Linked DNA regions of Callithrix jacchus. The protein of the gene in region 2 purifies or fractionates together with the protein of the main gene of each other region. This does not show direct contact. Links are inferred from orthologs where the notes say so. Each region holds a gene or a part of one and is shown on either strand. Other genes may lie near its edges.

Region 1 (5,172 bases), on a different chromosome or scaffold from region 2:
CATGAAAATGATTTAATAGACCTGAAGGGGTGTGGGGTGTTAAGAGTTGAGAGGCAGAATCCAGGACTCACCACACAGTCTGCGTTCTGCGTTAGCCTCTTGAGTGTGAGGAGTGAATTATAAGGCTGGACCACCACGTCGCTCATCTCGTCCTGGTTGGGAAACACTGAGTATGTCTGCACCAGCTTCTTAGGATACCTGGTGGGGGTTGGGGAAAGGATCAGGGCAACAGATTGAAGGTGTGGTGAACATGGTGCTCCCTAACAACTGTCCAGAAGCAGCTAAATTTTGATGTCGAAACTGGGGTGGGGTCAGATCAGTAAAGGGAGACTTGACTTTTGGAAGTCTGTAACCCTACAGGGGGAAGGGCAGAGACATCTTAGAATCTGGGCTTCCAACTCCACACTCCCTGGACTTTGATCCAGGGCTCAGATTCTAGGCTCCAGTTCCCACTACTGGGAGTGTGATGGGGATCTCAGTCACTGTAACTTCTTTTTCCTCTCTATAGGAGGGAATAGAAGAACTCTTTCCTGCCCCAGCAAACAGGGAGTTATACCTACTGGGTCCCCTAGTCATTTAGGAAGCCAAGTTGGTGACCCTTCCTAATCCCCAAACACAAACTTACCTGTCATTCAGCCGTTCTAAGAGGTAGGAGCCCAGGCCAGAGCCTGTCCCCCCAGCAATGGAGTGACACAACACAAAGCCCTGCATGGGAAAGGGGCAGTCAGTGTCCAGGAATCTAGTGGCAGGATTTCAAACTAGACCCATCTCACAATTTTTCAGGACTCCCATTTTCCCGAGCCCTTCCTTTCCCTCCAGTACTCTCACTCATACAGCTTAGGTGACTGCCTTGTTTCCAGCAAGGCCTGGTAGCTTCTGTCCAGTGCAAAGGGTACATGAGTGCGTCTTGTTCTTAATAGGTCGCTTCTAGAGGGTGTTGCCAAGCCTTGCCTATGTCAGTTCCTACCAGCATTCCTGGGACACTTACCTCTAGACTGTCACTACCATCCGCTTCCCGGTCTATGATGTCAAAAATGTCCTCGTGGATCTTCTCTCCCTGTACAGACATAGGGAGGGTCAGAGTGGGACAGAACCATGGAAGGACTCTGACTTCAGGAAAGCAACCCTCGACTTACCTTATAGCACCAGAAGTCCTTTTATGGAGCATAGCTGCCTGCTTTTTATCTACACTGAGAGGCAGTATGGTGCAGTGGTTACAAGAAAGCACTCTACAACCCGGATTACCTGTGTTCATACGTTAGCTCTATTTTTTTTTTTTTTTTTTTGGAGATGGAGTCTCATTCTGTCACCCAGGCTGGAGTGCAATGGTGTGATCTCAGCTCATAGCAACCTCTGTCTCCTGGGTTCAAGCAATTCTCCTGCCTCAGCCTCCCGAGTAGCTGGCATTACAGGCACTTGTCACCATGCCCAGCTAATTTTTGTATTTTTAGTAGAGATGGGGTTTCATCATGTTGGCCTGGCTGGTCTTCAACTCCTGACCTCAGGTGATCCACCAGCCTCAGCCTCCCAAAGTGCTGGGATTACAGGCATGAGCCACCATACCTGGGCCATCGACTCTCCTTCTGTGTAGCTCTGAGCAGCCTATTTAATTGCTCTATGCCTCAGTTTCCTCATCTGTACAATGAAGGTAATAATACAGATCCATATACCCTTATCTAACAGTGTTGAGGCAGTTATGTTTTGGAATTCAAAATATTTCAGATTTTAGAAAGGTATTATGGTATATATAATATAGGTTAAATAAAATTCCAGTGGGAGTCAGAAGTACATTAATCAAACATATTAGTATTTCTATAATAAAAATCATCAGTGAAGATAATAAGTTGGATAGAAACTATAAAACAGCCTGTCTTCATTGAGATTTGTTTTTCCTGCTAAACTAGTTAGGAAATGTCCTTTGGTTTCATGGCTTTTTGGATCCTGGAAAAGCAGATAAGGGACTGTGGACCTGTAGTACTTACTTCTAGGGTTGTTGGAAGATTTTAAAAAATTAATATATGTAAAGTACTTAGAATGGCCTGGCACACTGCATTAGCTAGTACAGACACTTAACAATATTACATAGTCCGCTTCCTGCAGCCAGGTCTCTCCCTCCAGCATTCATATATCCCTGATCTGGTTCCTTTCTCTTGGAGACATCATAGGGCTTGTCCCTACACAGGGAGTTGTGGGCCCTGCCAGGGAACAGGAAACAACCTGGGAGAATCCACTGGCCCAGTTGTTGCCAGCTCCTCCTCCATGCTCCGACAGGTAGATGTTCTCTGGGTTGTAGAGCTTGGCGTAGGGGGAGTTGAGGATGGAGTGGATCACCCGGGGCTCCAGGTCCAGCAGCACGGCCCGGGGGATGTAGTGCTCATCATCTGCCTGTCAAGGAGAGTCCAGGAGGAAGACCAATCAGCCAGGGCGGCCCAAGTCCTAAGTCCTCCCAACTCTGGCTCCCTGGGCCCTCCCTCCTCAAGCCAGCCGCCTGGCCCCTTTGCCCAGTGGGGCTCCCCTTCCAGTACCAGGCCACTCCCTTCCCTTCCGGCCCTTTGGGCCACTGCCGCCCCTGGCCAAGTTGCTGGGGGCACCTGGTAGAAAAAGACGTCCTTGCGGTCAGTGCCCTCGGTGGCGAACTCCTCCACGATGCCCTCAGGGCTGATACCATGCTCGGCGCACAGCTGTTTCCAGAACTCGAACCCAACTGGGGGAAAGGGGTGGGTGGGGGAGAAAGAAGATATCTAGGTCCGGGCAGGTTCCAATCACGAGCTGGGGGACTAGGCGCCTGCGTCCTGGGATAAGAAGTCAAGCCGCAGGACTCTCCCGTGTCTGAGGAAAGGACTGTACGCCAGGGACTGGGCAGGGGAGGGCCCCTCGGGGTTAAGGCAAGTGGACATTGGATCAGGGATGTCTCGCCTTTCAGAGAACTACAATTCTGGCAAGGACAGATGGAGTCCAGGATCCCACAGCGAGATCCCATTAACCCTAAGGAACCGGGCTAGCTGAAGGGCCGGAGTTTCGCTCACTCTGATTGCCGCACTGGCCCAACTGTAGGGTGATGATTTCCCTCGGCATCGCTCCTCAGGCACGGGCGTTGCAGCAGCTACCGCCGCACGCCAGCCCGCTCGCCGCAAGACGCAGGCGCCAAACAACCAGCTCCACCCACAGACTTCCTCCGCTCCAATGAGAACCGAGTTCTGGCAGTGAATGGCACGTCCTTAAGCATTGGCCTTCATTCATCCATATTGCGCGTGCGCATCTTCGGGCAAGGCGCCTCCGCGCGGGCGTTGTACTTTGACGCAGCGTCCTCCTCTCTGGGTGGACGCGTACTTGGGCCTGCGCGGAAGCGCTTTGTGGTGCGAAGAGACCTCCCTAGTCCAATCGCGCATCTGCGCAGTTGCTGTTATTGTGACTGTCGGGCCACAGACCCGGATGTTGTGGCTGCCAGGGGGAGATGGCGGAGGCTGAGGGGGTGGCTACTACCCCAGGCCCGGCTTCGGGGTCGACTTTCAGGGGCCGCCGAGATGTGTCAGGCTCCTGGAAGCGGGACCAGCAGGTTGAGGCGGCGCAGCGGGCCCTGGTGGAGGTGCTGGGGCCTTACGAGCCTCTGCTGAGTCGAGTGCAGGCAGCCCTGGTGTGGGAGCGACCAGCCAGGAGCGCTCTGTGGTGCCTGGGGCTGAACGCGGCTTTCTGGTGAGAGAACTGGACCCTCGGAAACCCTCAGAGTCCCGAATTCGTCGATTCCTCTAGGGCTCTACTTCACGCCTGCCCTGTTTTCTTCGCTCCACTGGCTCCTTCCTGTATCTGCTTAATTTTGCCTCACCTCCTACCACTCCATCCCGCCTGTAGGCTTCGGCACCCCAGTTCTTCCCAGGGCGGTCCACCTATCTTCTCTGCTTTACCTACGTCCGCACCCCCCGCCCCGCACTTCTGGCGGGAGCTTCTGGTAACTTCTTGAGCCTCTCAGGAGTGAACGAGGGCGCCTCTTTGGAGCCCAGGAAAGCTGCGACCCTTTAAAGCCATCACTTCCTTTCTCTTGTCTGCTCAAGTGCAAGTTGTAGATTGTTTCAGAGGTTTTACTAGTTATTGTGGGGAGTACAGGCGTGAGGTCTTGCAAAGGTATCCATAGATGTGATTTTAAAACAATTTTGAGCGGTTCGCATGAATTAGCATGTTATATATCCAGGAAGGAAGTTTATGAAGTCTGAGAGTCAGTGTGAGCCCCTAAAGCTGAAACTTAAAAGAAAATTACAAGCTTTTAAAGAACAGTTAGGAAATGATGATGGAGATTTCACCCGTTTCAAAGCCACCTGTGATTGTAACTCCCTGTTCCAAAGAATTAGAGGCATGGTTTATAGGCAAGGAAATTGAGGATGTCTAATAGTGTGTGTTTTCCTGAGCTGGAAAAGTGGCACTATAAATATGCTTTATATGTGTGTGTCATGCTCTTGAACATGGAACTGCTGCTGCCTTCAGTTGTTCATCACCTAAAGTATACCTAGGACTTCATAGGATCTACCATTCATAGTTTTGGATTCATTCAAAATGGGGGAGGTTTTGAATTATAGGGGGGACTGAATTATAGGGGGCCTTCTGCAGCTGAAAGGATTAGGACTATTCTGGGTAAGCCTGAAACAACAAAATATATGTGTTTTTTAAATGTGTTTGGTTAAAAATAGGTTTCCCCTTAAAATTAGTGGTTTTAAAATAAAAATATTTATTATCCTTTGAAAGATTTTCAGTAAGCTGAAGCAGAGCAAATAATTCCAAGTTCATTGACCCAAAGTCAGTGTTCAGCTATTAAGCTAATCCTCTCCCAGTTTGAAAGACACCCAGTTAAAGGTGTCACAGTAGTCTCTGGCATTTGTGGCTTCCAGAGTCTTTAGCAAACTTTATGGTAAACTTTGGCTACTATATTCTTCATTTATTTTTGGTAGCGCTTTTTTCCTCTTTTTTTTTTTTGAGACAAGATCTTGCTCTGTCACCCAGGCTGGAGTGTAGTGGTATGATCTCAGCTCATTACAACCTCCACTTCCTGGGCTCAAACAATCCTCCCACCTCAGCGTCCGCAGTATTTGGGACCACAGGTGCACACCTCCATGCATGGCTAATTTTTAAAATTTTCTGTAGAGACGGGGTCTCACTATTGCCCAGGCTGGTCTCGAACTCCTA
Region 2 (4,384 bases):
TCTGAAAGGGGAGATTGAGGTAGCTATACTCCAAGATAATAAAATGACAAGTACTTTATTAATAGACTACTGGTATGTTTCAGGTATTGGTATGTCATCTTATGGTTCATGTAATGACGCTGTGGTTGTCATGATTGAAACCTGTGACTCTTTTTTTGTTTTGTTTTTTTACTTTTTGGATTTTTTTTTTTTTTTTTTTGAGATAGAATTGTGCTCTGTCACCCAGGCTGGAATGCAATGGCAGGATCTTGTTTCACTGCAGTCTTCACCTCTCAGGTTCAAGTGATTCTCCTGCTACAGCCTCCTGAGTAACTAGGATTACAGGCACCCGCCACCATGCCCAGCTAATTTTTGTATTTGTAGTAGAGATGGGGTTTCACCAGGTTGGCCAGGCTGGTCTCGAACTCCTGACCTCAGGTGATCCACCTGCCTCAGCCTCCCAAAGTCCTGGGATTACAGGCGTGAGCCACCACACCTGGCCAAAACCTGTCACTCTCAGACATCAGAGAAATCCTAAACCCCATGTGAATAGTGTGATTGGCCGTAATTTATATGGCTTATATAAAATGTCCTTATGAATGCTTATAATTACATAAAATTTATTCTTTCATTTTTATAGTCTGTTCGGCATTTGAAGTACTCCTTGTTTAAGAAATCACTACTGGGCAGTGTTTCAGATAATGGAATAGTAACTCTCTGGGATGTAAATAGTCAGAGTCCATACCATAACTTTGACAGTGCACACAAAGCTCCAGCTTCAGGCATCTGTTTTTCTCCTGTCAATGAATTGCTCTTTGTAACCATAGGCTTGGATAAAAGAATCATCCTCTATGACACTTCAAGTAAGAAGTAAGTGTGACATGCTTATTTTTTAATTTAGTAACAAATAACTATTATTCCATTAACAGGCATATTTGTGATTTGTATAGACCACTGATTAATGTTGAGGGGTTCTAAAGTTTGTACAGTTGATGAATCTAGTAAAATAGAATTTTCTTCTTGTGCAGAAAAAAAATAGATGGGGTGCAGGTAGTATTTAGAGCTCTGAAACATGAACAATGGCGCAATCTCGGCTCACCACAACCTCCGCCTCCCGGGTTCAAGCGATTCTCTTGCCTTGGCCTCCCAAGGAGCTGTGATTACAGGTGCCCACTACCACACCCTGCTAATTTTTTGTATTTTTAGTAGAGGTGGGGTTTCGCCATGTTGGCCAGACTGGTTTCGAACTCCTGACCTCAGGCGATGCACCTGCCTTGGTCTCCCAAAGTGCTGGGATTACGGGCAGGAGCCACCGTGCTGGCCTTGATTTCACATTTCAATTTTAGCATCTTTTTCAAAATATGACATGTATATGTTTTTAACACAAATGATTAATTTGCTTTAAAATTGATTATCTAGAGGAAGGTTTAGAAATGATTGCCATTTTGGGCTTTGTAATTCTTTGTTGTGAGAGACTGTCCTGGATATTGTAGGATACTCAGCATCCCTGGCCTCTGCTCACTAAACACCAATAACCTAAATGGTGTCCAGACATTGCCAGATGTCTTCTGGTTGCTTCCACTTGAGAAATACTGCTAGGTATGCATAATCTTCTAAGCATTTGGGCCCATTGTACCCTTCTCATGTTAAAGGTATGCTCAGTTAGCTAAAACAAAACAAAACAAAAGAACTGCAAGAGTGCGAGAGTTGTATTCAAGATGCTTAGCACTGCAGATCATGTGGAGTATGAATGTTACTACAAGGGAAGGGCTTACTGTCAGCCCTGTTATGATGCTAGAATTTTTGCTGTTACTTATTTGCTGTCTTCTTTTATGGAACAATTTACTGAGAGCCTGGTAAGCCATTCTTCTCTTATACTAGACAGACCAGTAAAGAGCTCAGCTTGAGCAGATCAGCATCCATATTTCTTTATTAGCTGCCTAAGGATCAAGCTTGTGAATTATATTCCTCCTAGCTTTTTGGTCAAGACTGCACAACTAAGAATAGAGTAACAGCTGCTCCCCTGTGAAAGGTCATAATCCTCCTGAGGCCTAGGCAGGTCAATAAATGGAAAGGGAATACTTAGGGCCTCCTCAGTCCTGAGGCTAGAGCCTCTGTTTGTGGTGTAACAGATGGTAGTTCTGCTACATTCACTGCCAGAGTAATAAAGAAATAGGTGCTGTTTCTATAAGATGTGGAATATACCTAGTGAATAGAAAAGATGGAATTTTTGGCAGTTCTCTACATGCCATTTTATTAGAAATTTCTCTAAGTCAAATTCTAAAATTATGCTTTAAACAAATATTTGGGATATATGTGCTCTTTGCTAGTTTGAAGTATTAATAACTCTGGTTTTGGTTTATAGTTATTATATAAGCTTATATACCTATACACACTAACATAGCTACACATAGTTTGTTCTCCTTTCCAAAGGGTGGTGAAAACTTTAGTGGCTGACACTCCTCTAACTGCGGTGGATTTCATGCCTGATGGAGCCGCTTTGGCTATTGGATCTTCCCGGGGGAAAATATATCAATATGATTTAAGAATGTTGAAATCACCAGTTAAAACCATCAGTGCTCACAAGACATCTGTGCAATGTATAGCATTTCAGTACTCCACTGCTCTTACTAAGGTAAGACATTTTCTTATTTTTGATTTTATTAAATAAATCTAACTCAGAATATGGAAATTATGTTATCAATTAAATACAGTATAGTTTTGTTTCATAATTACATAAAAATGACTTTACATGTAGTACATAATAATTTTAGTACAAAGCCATTTGATAATTAGTTTTAAAACTTCGTACTTAGTTCTCATATCTCTCTTTCTCTAAAAGTCTTTTAAAAGATGTTTTCGTTTAGAGCAAAACTGAGATCCATCAGCAAGCTTAAGATTTGCAAGGAAAAAATATATTTTTTAATCTAACAGAGAATTTATAAAATATTAATGTATGGTATGAAACATTAGTAACCTGAGCTTTTAAATATTCCATTACATTTCAGTCAAGTTTAAATAAAGGCTGTTCAAATAAGCCCACAGCAGTGAACAAACGAAGTGTTAATGTGAATGCTGCTAGTGGAGGAGTTCAGAATTCCGGAATTGTCAGAGAAGCACCTGCCATATCCGTTGCCACGGTTCTACCACAACCTGTGACATCAGTTGTGGGGAAAGGAACAGTTGCTATTCAAGAAAAAGCAGGTAAATGTTGCTTAAATATTGTTGGAAGGTTTTTTTTTTTTTTTGGTCTACATATGATTAGCACATTTTTCAAGAACCTAGAATCCAAATTCAGGTGAGTATTTAGGTAAAATTAGTAGAAGTGAAAATCACTAAGAAGTGAAATAGTAACTTTAGCTATTAATTTCAAAAATATTAAAAGGCCCTACTGTTTAGCTAAACTTCTGTTGTGAGAAATATTATCTTAAAAATGGAAGGAGGCTAACTGAGAAATTATTCTTCCCTAATACTACTGCAGACTGAATGGCTTTTCCATTGTGTCTTCAGATTAACCAGTAGAGAATATGAAACTTTGATGCTGTCAGTGATTTGATCTCCTTGTTAAAAAAAAAGAAGAGCTATTATAATGGCTCTTTTTATTTCACATTTTAGAATGAAAAGTAAGTCAAGTGATGAATATTTTAAAGTGCTAAATAGTGCCTGGCACATATTAAGCAGTATATTAGTAATTTGTTAAAAATAAATGAGAATGTTGCAATTTTTAATGATTTCTTCTCTGATGTTATTGATGAAACTGTTCTGAAATAGGATTCATTTAGACTTTATTGAGGTGCCATAAGCTTTCCCATACTTATTGTAGAAAGTATTCCTTGTTCACAATAAAGAAAATATTCTATAAATTCCTGAAAACTTTTTATTTTAAGAAGTTATGCTATACTGTCAACTTGCAACGAATACTTTAAAAATCTACATGGTATACTAGTATGTTTCCAAAATATTGTGCTCATTAGAAATACATCTATCTATGTTTTTCAAATTTTTCAGGATAAATACTTGGACAAAAATATTGGTGTTTTTTTAGTATGATTTTACTATTTCCAAGTAGAAGCAAAACTTTAATTTGTTGATCTTGATAGTGTGAAATAGTATTTTAAAGTAAGTATGTTCACTATAAATTTCCTTTGAATATTTATATCATCCTTATGTAAGAGTCATTAAATATTAGAAAAATAATTAGATTCTTATTTAGGAACTCCTGGAGACAAAGACAATTGATATCTACTTAAAGAAGAAATTATTGTTGAAATATAACTTTGAGTAACATCTGCCAACATGTTTAATTAACTATATTATGAAAATTGCCTTTATCTTACATAATGCCATCTTCATAATTTTCAAAAATTAATCAAAATATTCTCTCATTCACTGTAAACTCTTTGAA

What was found. The genes of interacting proteins can lie anywhere in the genome.
Region 1: the proteins of NEDD1 (region 2) and tubulin gamma-1 chain purify together in Homo sapiens (affinity purification with mass spectrometry; 5 studies listed by BioGRID and IntAct, with this or other methods). This does not show direct contact. The link is inferred for Callithrix jacchus from reciprocal best matches to the Homo sapiens genes NEDD1 and TUBG1.

What each region holds. Positions count from the first base shown.
Region 1 is NC_133506.1:121,277,291-121,282,462, forward strand, and holds the start of tubulin gamma-1 chain, read right to left. Parts: upstream 3,116-5,172; 5' UTR 3,076-3,115; coding exon 3,027-3,075; intron 2,705-3,026; coding exon 2,592-2,704; intron 2,386-2,591; coding exon 2,218-2,385; intron 1,058-2,217; coding exon 989-1,057; intron 706-988; coding exon 626-705; intron 199-625; coding exon 72-198; intron 1-71. Other genes in the region: RETREG3 (reticulophagy regulator 3), read left to right, coding at 3,455-3,693. UniProt on the Homo sapiens protein: Tubulin is the major constituent of microtubules, protein filaments consisting of alpha- and beta-tubulin heterodimers. Gamma-tubulin is a key component of the gamma-tubulin ring complex (gTuRC) which mediates microtubule nucleation.
Region 2 is NC_133510.1:100,010,765-100,015,148, forward strand, and holds part of NEDD1 (protein NEDD1), read left to right. Parts: intron 1-619; coding exon 620-849; intron 850-2,412; coding exon 2,413-2,614; intron 2,615-2,987; coding exon 2,988-3,183; intron 3,184-4,384. UniProt on the Homo sapiens protein: Required for mitosis progression. Promotes the nucleation of microtubules from the spindle.